Sus scrofa: one gene and its partner. The protein of the gene in region 1 interacts with the protein of each later gene in a biochemical or structural test. Links are inferred from orthologs where the notes say so. Each region holds a gene or a part of one and is shown in the gene's direction. Other genes may lie near its edges.

Evidence for each region. The genes of interacting proteins can lie anywhere in the genome.
Region 2: the proteins of RAB6A (region 1) and BICD1 form a complex in vitro, tested with the Homo sapiens proteins (3 studies listed by BioGRID). The link is inferred for Sus scrofa from reciprocal best matches to the Homo sapiens genes RAB6A and BICD1.

The regions. Positions count from the first base shown.
Region 1 is NC_010451.4:8,196,376-8,200,473, reverse strand, and holds the start of RAB6A (ras-related protein Rab-6A), read left to right. Parts: upstream 1-1,261; 5' UTR 1,262-1,885; coding exon 1,886-1,955; intron 1,956-2,251; exon of another isoform or gene 2,252-2,688; coding exon of another isoform or gene 2,689-2,710; intron 2,711-4,098. UniProt on the Homo sapiens protein: The small GTPases Rab are key regulators of intracellular membrane trafficking, from the formation of transport vesicles to their fusion with membranes.
Region 2 is NC_010447.5:41,937,212-41,940,857, reverse strand, and holds part of BICD1 (protein bicaudal D homolog 1), read left to right. Parts: intron 1-1,657; coding exon 1,658-1,975; intron 1,976-2,957; coding exon 2,958-3,151; intron 3,152-3,646. UniProt on the Homo sapiens protein: Regulates coat complex coatomer protein I (COPI)-independent Golgi-endoplasmic reticulum transport by recruiting the dynein-dynactin motor complex.

The DNA.
Region 1 (4,098 bases):
CGTTGGCATGAGCTGTGGTGTAGGCTGCAGACTCAACTTGGATCCCGTGTTGCTGTGGCTGTGGCGCAGGCCAGCTGCTGTAGCTCTTGATTTGATCCTTAGCCTGGTAACCTCCACATGCCACGGGTATGGCGCTAAAAAGCCAAAAAAAACAAAAACAAAAACAAAAAACAAAAAAAACCCCAATAAATAAATACAATATCTACTTCAGGAATTCCTGCTGTGACTTAGTGGGTTAAGTACCCTGCCTTGCCTCTGTGAGGATTCGGGTTTGATCTCTGGCCTTGCTCAATGGGTTACGGATCCTACAAAGTGGAAACCTCCAGGGTAGATCTCAGAAGCAACTAGGATCTGGTGTGGCTGAAGCTGTGGCATGGGCCTGAATTTACAGCTCCAATTCGACCCCTAGCCCAGGAACTTCCATACGCCACAGGTGTGGCTGTTAAAAAAAAAAAAAGCCCACTTCATCAGGGGCATGCTCTACCACGAATTTGTTGTGTGACCTTTTTGCAAACTTGTTTTCCTACCTGAGCCTCAGTTTTACCCTATGTTTACATGATATCTAAATCCTTTTCGATCACAGTAGAAGGTGGGCTCACCTGGGCTGGCCCATCTGAGGAAGAGAGGTTGCTAACAGAAGGCCAAGCCACATCAGGCCAAGGATGGTCTTATCAACTAGCAGGTTGCAGAAGTTCAATGGGGGAAAAAGACAAAACCTGGCTTCAATTTTACTGTTCTGTGGGTTTTGTAAGTCATTTCCTTCCTACGAGCTTCAGTTTCCTCATCTGTAAAAACGTGGAGGCCCTGCTTCTGGTAGTTATGAAACTCCTGGGAGCAGGAGTGGAGAATGTACCTAGGAGGGTATCATGGCAGGAATTATAAGAAGAGGTTGGAGAAGGTGGGGGCATAGGTGAAGTGGGGCTCGCAGGAATCTGAGGCAGGGCTAAAGGCTCAGAACTAGGAACCTTCTAAACACCTTAGTACTCTCTGACTTCATCCGCTCTTGTAGGGGTCAATTCCACCTCCACGCCGGCCCCGCCTCCACCCCGCTTCTCTCTGTTCTCCTCCCCTCAGGCTCGGACGCGCCACACTACACATGGCCGCCACTGTGAGACACTTTCCACCGCTCGAGGGCAGCGAGCGCGCTCTCGCGCCGCCACCTCATTCCCATCCTTGCCCGCCCTTGACCTCTTCCGATTGGCTCATCGTATAAGTGACGAAAGCGCTCCTTACTCCACCCTTTGGGTTCCTCCAGGCTCCACCCCACCTCCCCGCTTCTCCCGACGCGAGCGTACACCTAACCACCCCCGGTCTCCGCTGCCGCGGAGCCGGGAAAGCAGGCTAAACCAGGAAGACGCCGTCTGTGGCGCGCACGCGCACGCACGCACGCACGCACGCTGGGGCTGGCGGGGCGGCAGGCTCGTGCCCGGGCTCGCCCCGCGCCGCGCCACAGGCTCGCGCACTCAGCAGGTTGGGCTGCGGCGGCGGCAGCTGAGGCGCTGAAGCGCTGCGTGTGAGAGGTCCCAGGCGCGTCTGCGGCTCCGGCTCCTCCGCCCTCACCCCAGCCTCCGAGCCGGGTGCTGAGAAGGGAGCCGCTCTGGCCTTCGGACCCCTGAGCACTCCCCTGGCTGCTTCCGACACCGCCTTCGTTCCCTTCCCAGCCTCGGGCCTCGCTCGGTGCTAGGCGGCTCTGAGGGGAGGCGGCGGCGACGGCTGCCTGTCTGTGTCGAGGGGCCCTGCCCTCCGGTCTTGCTCCGCTCCGGGCCCTGCAGCGGCCGAGAGAGCTGGGCGCCCGCCCATTCTCTAGCCTCTCCGTCCACTGCTTGGAGCCGCGTCGGTCCGGGAGGTCTTTGGGCTGAGGCGGCGCAGCTCCTCCGGCTCCATCATGTCCGCGGGCGGAGACTTCGGGAATCCGCTGAGGAAATTCAAGCTGGTGTTCCTGGGGGAGCAGAGCGGTGAGTGCGCGGCTCCCCCACTCCTGGCAGCTGGCCGCGGCTTCCCCGCACCGCCCCCAGTGCGGCCCTTCGGCCGCGGAGGCTGCTGCGGCCCTCGCGTTCGCCCTCCGCCCCCTGCCCCGGCCCCGCGTCGGCCGCCCCCTCGTCGCCCCCCGTGCTTCCTCGCCGCGATCCGTCGGGCGGATTTTGCCCCTTCTGGCCCCGACTCCGCCGGCTCCTCTCCCCGCAGCCCGGCCCTCCCCTGTCGACGTGCCCTCCCCAGTCCTCACCCCGCCCAGCCTCCTGTCCATCCCTTTCTTCCTCCGGTCTCCGTCGTCTCGCCAGCTCCCGCTCCCTTCCTTGAGCCCCACCCTTGTTCCTCGCTCTGATCCCGGTCGGTCAGCCCTGCGAGGCCCACCGGCGGGACCCGGCTCTTTGGAACCTCGCGCCGGGAGGGGGGATCTGGGCGTTGTTTTCCCCAGAGGCTTGGCCCTGAGAAGTGCAGATCTTCTGGAAGGTGGAAAGTGGGGAGTCCTAGAAAATTCTTGGATTGTTTTCACCTGGGTGGGGGGTTGGCCTGGGTTCCAGAGGGTCCACGTCGGCCTTGGAGGCGACTTGAGGATGGAGTGGTGGGGGAGTGAGGGAGGGGCGGCGGCAGTGGCGATTTTTACCCGATGGGCTAGGCTGCGGCTTGTTGGAAAACCTCGTTTTCTTCTCCTGACTTTCATCCTTGACGATCCTTTTGGCCGCGTGGATGCTTTTCCAGTCTCTGCCAGGTGCTATGTCATGATCGTTTTACTTGGAATTTTTCACATCTCACCTCTCCTTTTTCTGTTTTAACACGAAGCGGGGTCTGATTCTCCTCACAGTGGAGCAAACAGGAATTACTGGGGAAATGCTAATTATTCCATTTCTTTTTGAGTATTTTCCAATGATAGATTGAGGATTCCTGTGAGAGAAGGCTTTAGGATAACGAACATCTTTGTTTTGTAGGATTTCCTTTGGGGTCAGGGAGTAAGAGAGAGAGAAGAGATGGGTTTTTCATCTGGTTATCTAAGTTAGATAAATACATGATACCATTTTGGCGAAATGCTTCTTTTATGGTTAATATTCCACTGTATCTGATGAGTAAAATCATTTGTTTACCTGACCATGCTTCTGCCGTCATTGTACTTTGTGTTAGATAAAGGTCCTTACTTTGTGTTAGATAAAGGTCCTTATTTTGTGATGGCTGCTGTCTCTAAAATTACTTCTTGTGGTAATTCCAATTTTATGCTGTGTTATACACACTTCATACTCTGCAGTTTAGAGGTGATCACCCTTCATTGTTTTTCTCTCACTTTTCCTGGCTGTCTTTAAAATTGAGACAGTGAGAGATTAGTTCTTACGAAGTCATTAGACATTGTTATCTGTTAGGTGTTTTAGGTTAGGCTATAGAAGACATTTATTTCTTTTGATTGGGAAGAAGATAACTGATGTTAATTCAAGGCTTTTGTTACTACTTTGAACTATTTACACTAATTTGTGTGACATTAAAGTAGGTTAATAATAGTTGCAAAATTGCTTCCAATTAGACCTGAGAAATCATTTTTCTCCTTTCATACATAATTTTTTTCTCCTTGTTGTCTTACCAAGTTTCCTCTTTGTTTATTTTTTCTGAATTTGTTTCTTTAAGTAACTTGAGACCTGTGAGGTTGATCCTTGTCCAGGTATTATAACAATTTTAGGGCAGTGCCATTCATAAAATATAGCTATTGGTCATTATTGATAGGATAAGTGCTTATTGTGCACTCTAGGGATGTTTTTGCCTGCCTGATGTTGTGATGCAGAGATATTTAGTTTGCATGAAAAATCTCCATCCTAGGAAAATTTTAGTATGAATAGTCATAACTTAAGTATCTGCAGGTTTCCTTTGAATTTCTTGGGTATTTACTTCTAATTCTCATTGCAGAGTTTTATAGCTTCTCATTTCTTAACTTCTTTAAGTCTTTACTAAATCCCCTTCCTGCCAATTCCTGAAGCCATCTTAGATTTTTTTAAAAGTAAACTCAATTTTGTTAGAACAGTTTTAGATTTACATAAAAATTAAGATAATGCAGAGAGTTCACATAGAGTCCCACCCAATTTCCCTTATTATTAACATCTTTCATTAGTATGGCACATT
Region 2 (3,646 bases), on another chromosome or scaffold:
ACAGCAACTGCCTTACTCCGTAGTATTTTTTAAAATATTGTTATGTGACCGATTAAAATGAATCTGGAATCCTGAAATCCACATTTTATTTTACTAAACCTCAATTTTTCTTATGATGTTCCTGCTGTGCTTCTTGACATACAGTGTTAAAGATAATGAGACCCATCTGGATCTCAAGTTCTTTGACTACAAAGTATTCTGTCTTTTTGTTTGTTTGTTTGTTTGTCTTTTTTTGCCTTTTCTAGGGCTGTTCCCGTGGCATATGGAGGTTCCCAGGCTAGGGGTCCGATGGGAGCTGTAGCCACTGGCCTACGCCAGAGCCACAGCAATGCCGGATCCAAGCCACGTCTGCAACCTACACCACAGCTCACAGCAACGCCAGATGCTTAACCCACTGAGCAAGGCCAGGGATTGAACCCCCAACCCCATGGTTCCTCATCAGATTCGTTAACCACTGAGCCATGACGGGAACTCCTAAAGTATTCTGTCTTTAAAATACTACAAGTCTTATGTTTATTTCAAAGTGGATATAATACATTTTGGATAATTCCAGAAAGTCGGTAACTATCTGCTGGTTCTTGAAGAAAGTTATTACTTTCTTAGTGGGTAAATAAATTCAGAAAGAAAAAAATTTCTGAATAAATTATATGAATAATTCTTCCTTCCAAATGTACATGTGTTCAGGTGTTACTTTTGGTGGAAAAAGTCCACTGAGCTTATCTTCCTGCTGCAGCATGAGCATCAGACCTGAATAAAGGTGTTTCTGACAGCTGGCTATATCCGTATCAAACCCTGCACAAATCTTGGGGGTTTTTTGACTCCTACTGGTTAATCATCTGGTTGAGAAATCACTGAAAATACTCAGGTTTCTAATTCAGGCAAATCTGCCATATTCAAAGTACTATCAACTACAACCTATACTCAATTAAAATAAAACCTATAAATATAAAGAAGTACATTTTATAAATATTATTATTCTTTTGCATGCTGCAGGCATAGACTATAACAAATTTGTCACACTCCTCCTAAGAGTACAATGTTACACAGTAGAAAAAGCTAATGTAACACATCTGCAGTGCTGTGAACCTCACCTGAGACTTTAACATTGGATCTTCTGCCACCGTGGATCAGCCGCGCGCAATAACTCTGTCTCTGAGGTTTAAGATACCACCTGTTAAGAATGTCCCCATATGGGAGTTCCCATTGTGGTTCAGCAGTAGGAACCCAACTAGTATCCATGAGAGTGCAGGTTTGATCCTTGGTCCTGCTCAGTGGGTTAAGGCTATGGCATTGCCATGAGCTGCAGTGTAGGTTCCAGATGCAGCTTGGATCTGGCATGGCTGTGGCTGTGGCCAGCAGCTGCCGCTCTGATTCATCCCCTAGCCTGGGAATTTCCATATGCCCCAGGTGCAGCTTTAAAAACATAAAAAGAAAGAAAATGTCCCCATGTGTACTTCCTTGTATAGATGAATTATCAGTTATCGAACCTACTCTGTTTCTAATTTTCTACAGTAATGGATTACTTCCACTCTGCTCGAGGAAGACCATTGTTCTAAATATCTAAAATTCCAGTAAAATTCATTATTTTCAACTTCTTAAGTTCCAAATTTAATTTCACCAAGATTTTCTCCTGACCACTTTTCTGTTGTGGTTCCAGATGTGATGAATATGTCACACAGTTGGATGAGATGCAGAGACAGTTAGCAGCTGCAGAGGATGAGAAGAAGACTCTAAACACTTTGTTACGAATGGCTATCCAGCAAAAACTCGCCCTGACCCAGCGGCTGGAGGACTTAGAGTTTGACCATGAGCAGTCCCGACGCAGCAAAGGCAAACTTGGGAAGAGCAAGATCGGCAGCCCTAAAGTAAGTGGGGAGGCATCAGTCACCGTGCCCACCATAGACACTTACCTCCTGCATAGTCAGGGCCCACAGACACCCAACATTCGGGTCAGCAGTGGCACTCAGAGGAAAAGGTATGCATGCAGCGATCTTCATAGTTTGGTGCAGTGGCCAGATGTTAGTTAACTGCAAAAATTAATGTGCTCGTATTGTGGAGGATGGAGGAAGGGAAAGAAGAGAAAAACTGGGAGTGGGTGTATAAATGGGCCTTGCCAGTGTTGGTTTTTCCAAATTAAAACCTTTTGATAATTGTATTTATTTATTCCTTTCTGTCACCCACACCCCACCTTTTGGTTAACCATAATATAATCTTCGAGTGTCTGTTAACATTTTTGCTGTTCCTTGTATGCATAAGTTTGCTTCTCCCTTACCTCCAACCTAAAACTGGGTAGAAAAAAGGTGAATATTAAGAATGAAGCTATGTTTTACATGGGTGATAATTTTAAAAGCCATTGTACCTCTGGTAATGGTGCTATTTACCAGCTTCTCTCTAATGGGGCAAGGATATGAATGTGTGTTCTTAGGGGAATTTTGTCCATATTCCGAAAACTGATGACTGACTCAAAGGAATGTCTTTATTTAGGGCAAATGAAATTAAATATGTATAGTCTTTTTTTTTTTAAGCAGGTTTTTGTGCTTTTTTTTTTTCATTTGGTATATGAATATTGCTCAAAAAAAAAAATCACTTGTAAGGTTTTTAGTGGCTTGATTTTATAACCTTTTTCCAGAGTCCTGGATATTGAATTACTTACCCTGTATTTTCAGTTGATGGTAAAATTTTTATTGTAGGAAATTTCAGTAAAGAATCAAACAATATAAATATTTTCTATTTGTAGTTCAAACTAACTATAATAAATCTCTCTTCCAGTATCCAGTACGGTTTCCAAATAGGGTTGTATCCTGCTATGGAAACTAAATATTTAATGAAAAATCTTGGTTTACATATTAAAAAAATTAAATGCCAATATAATAATGTTGTCACTGGTGAGGCTTTGAAAGGTAATTAAAGTAAAACTTTTTTGTTTCCTATATGTATTTTCTTGGATCTCCTGCAAGACAATTTTCACCTTCCCTTTGTGATCAGAGCCGTCCCAGGACTTCAGGGGCTTCCTACCTACAGAATTTATTAAGAGTTCCCCCTGATCCCACCTCCACAGAGTCATTTCTTCTGAAGGGCCCCCCTTCCATGAGTGAATTCATCCAAGGGCACCGGCTCAGCAAGGAAAAAAGGTTAACCGTGGCTCCACCAGGTAAACATTTTTTCCTTGGGTGCATGTGATGCAAATGATGAGTTGAATAGACAGCTCTCTCCTTCCTTCCAACCTCTCAGGCCCACCCATCCCCAGAGTCTAACTTTGAGGACAGTAAATTCCTACAGTTAAAGTAAAAATGCCTTTATTCTTCACTTCCTCGTGCCTTCTTTACTCAGCCAGTCATTTCTTAGGAGTCTCCAGGGACTTCCTTTTAACACCCACGGATGGTAAATGAGAGTTGGAAGGAATGGGTTAGATGAAGGGAAACTAGCAACAGGCACAACACAGGGCACACAGTGGGATCCTATTTGCAGTTTGGTAGCTCATAGCAGTTCCTTCTTGGTCAAATTTTGTCTTTTTGTTCTGATCATCTTTAATGTAATTTCAGTAAAGGGAGCCGTCTTTAGAAAAAGCTCTTTGGGCTAATCTCCTTTTGTAGTGACTCAGAATGTCTCCTCAGTTATTGAGATACAAAAGTAAAATCCGCTAAGA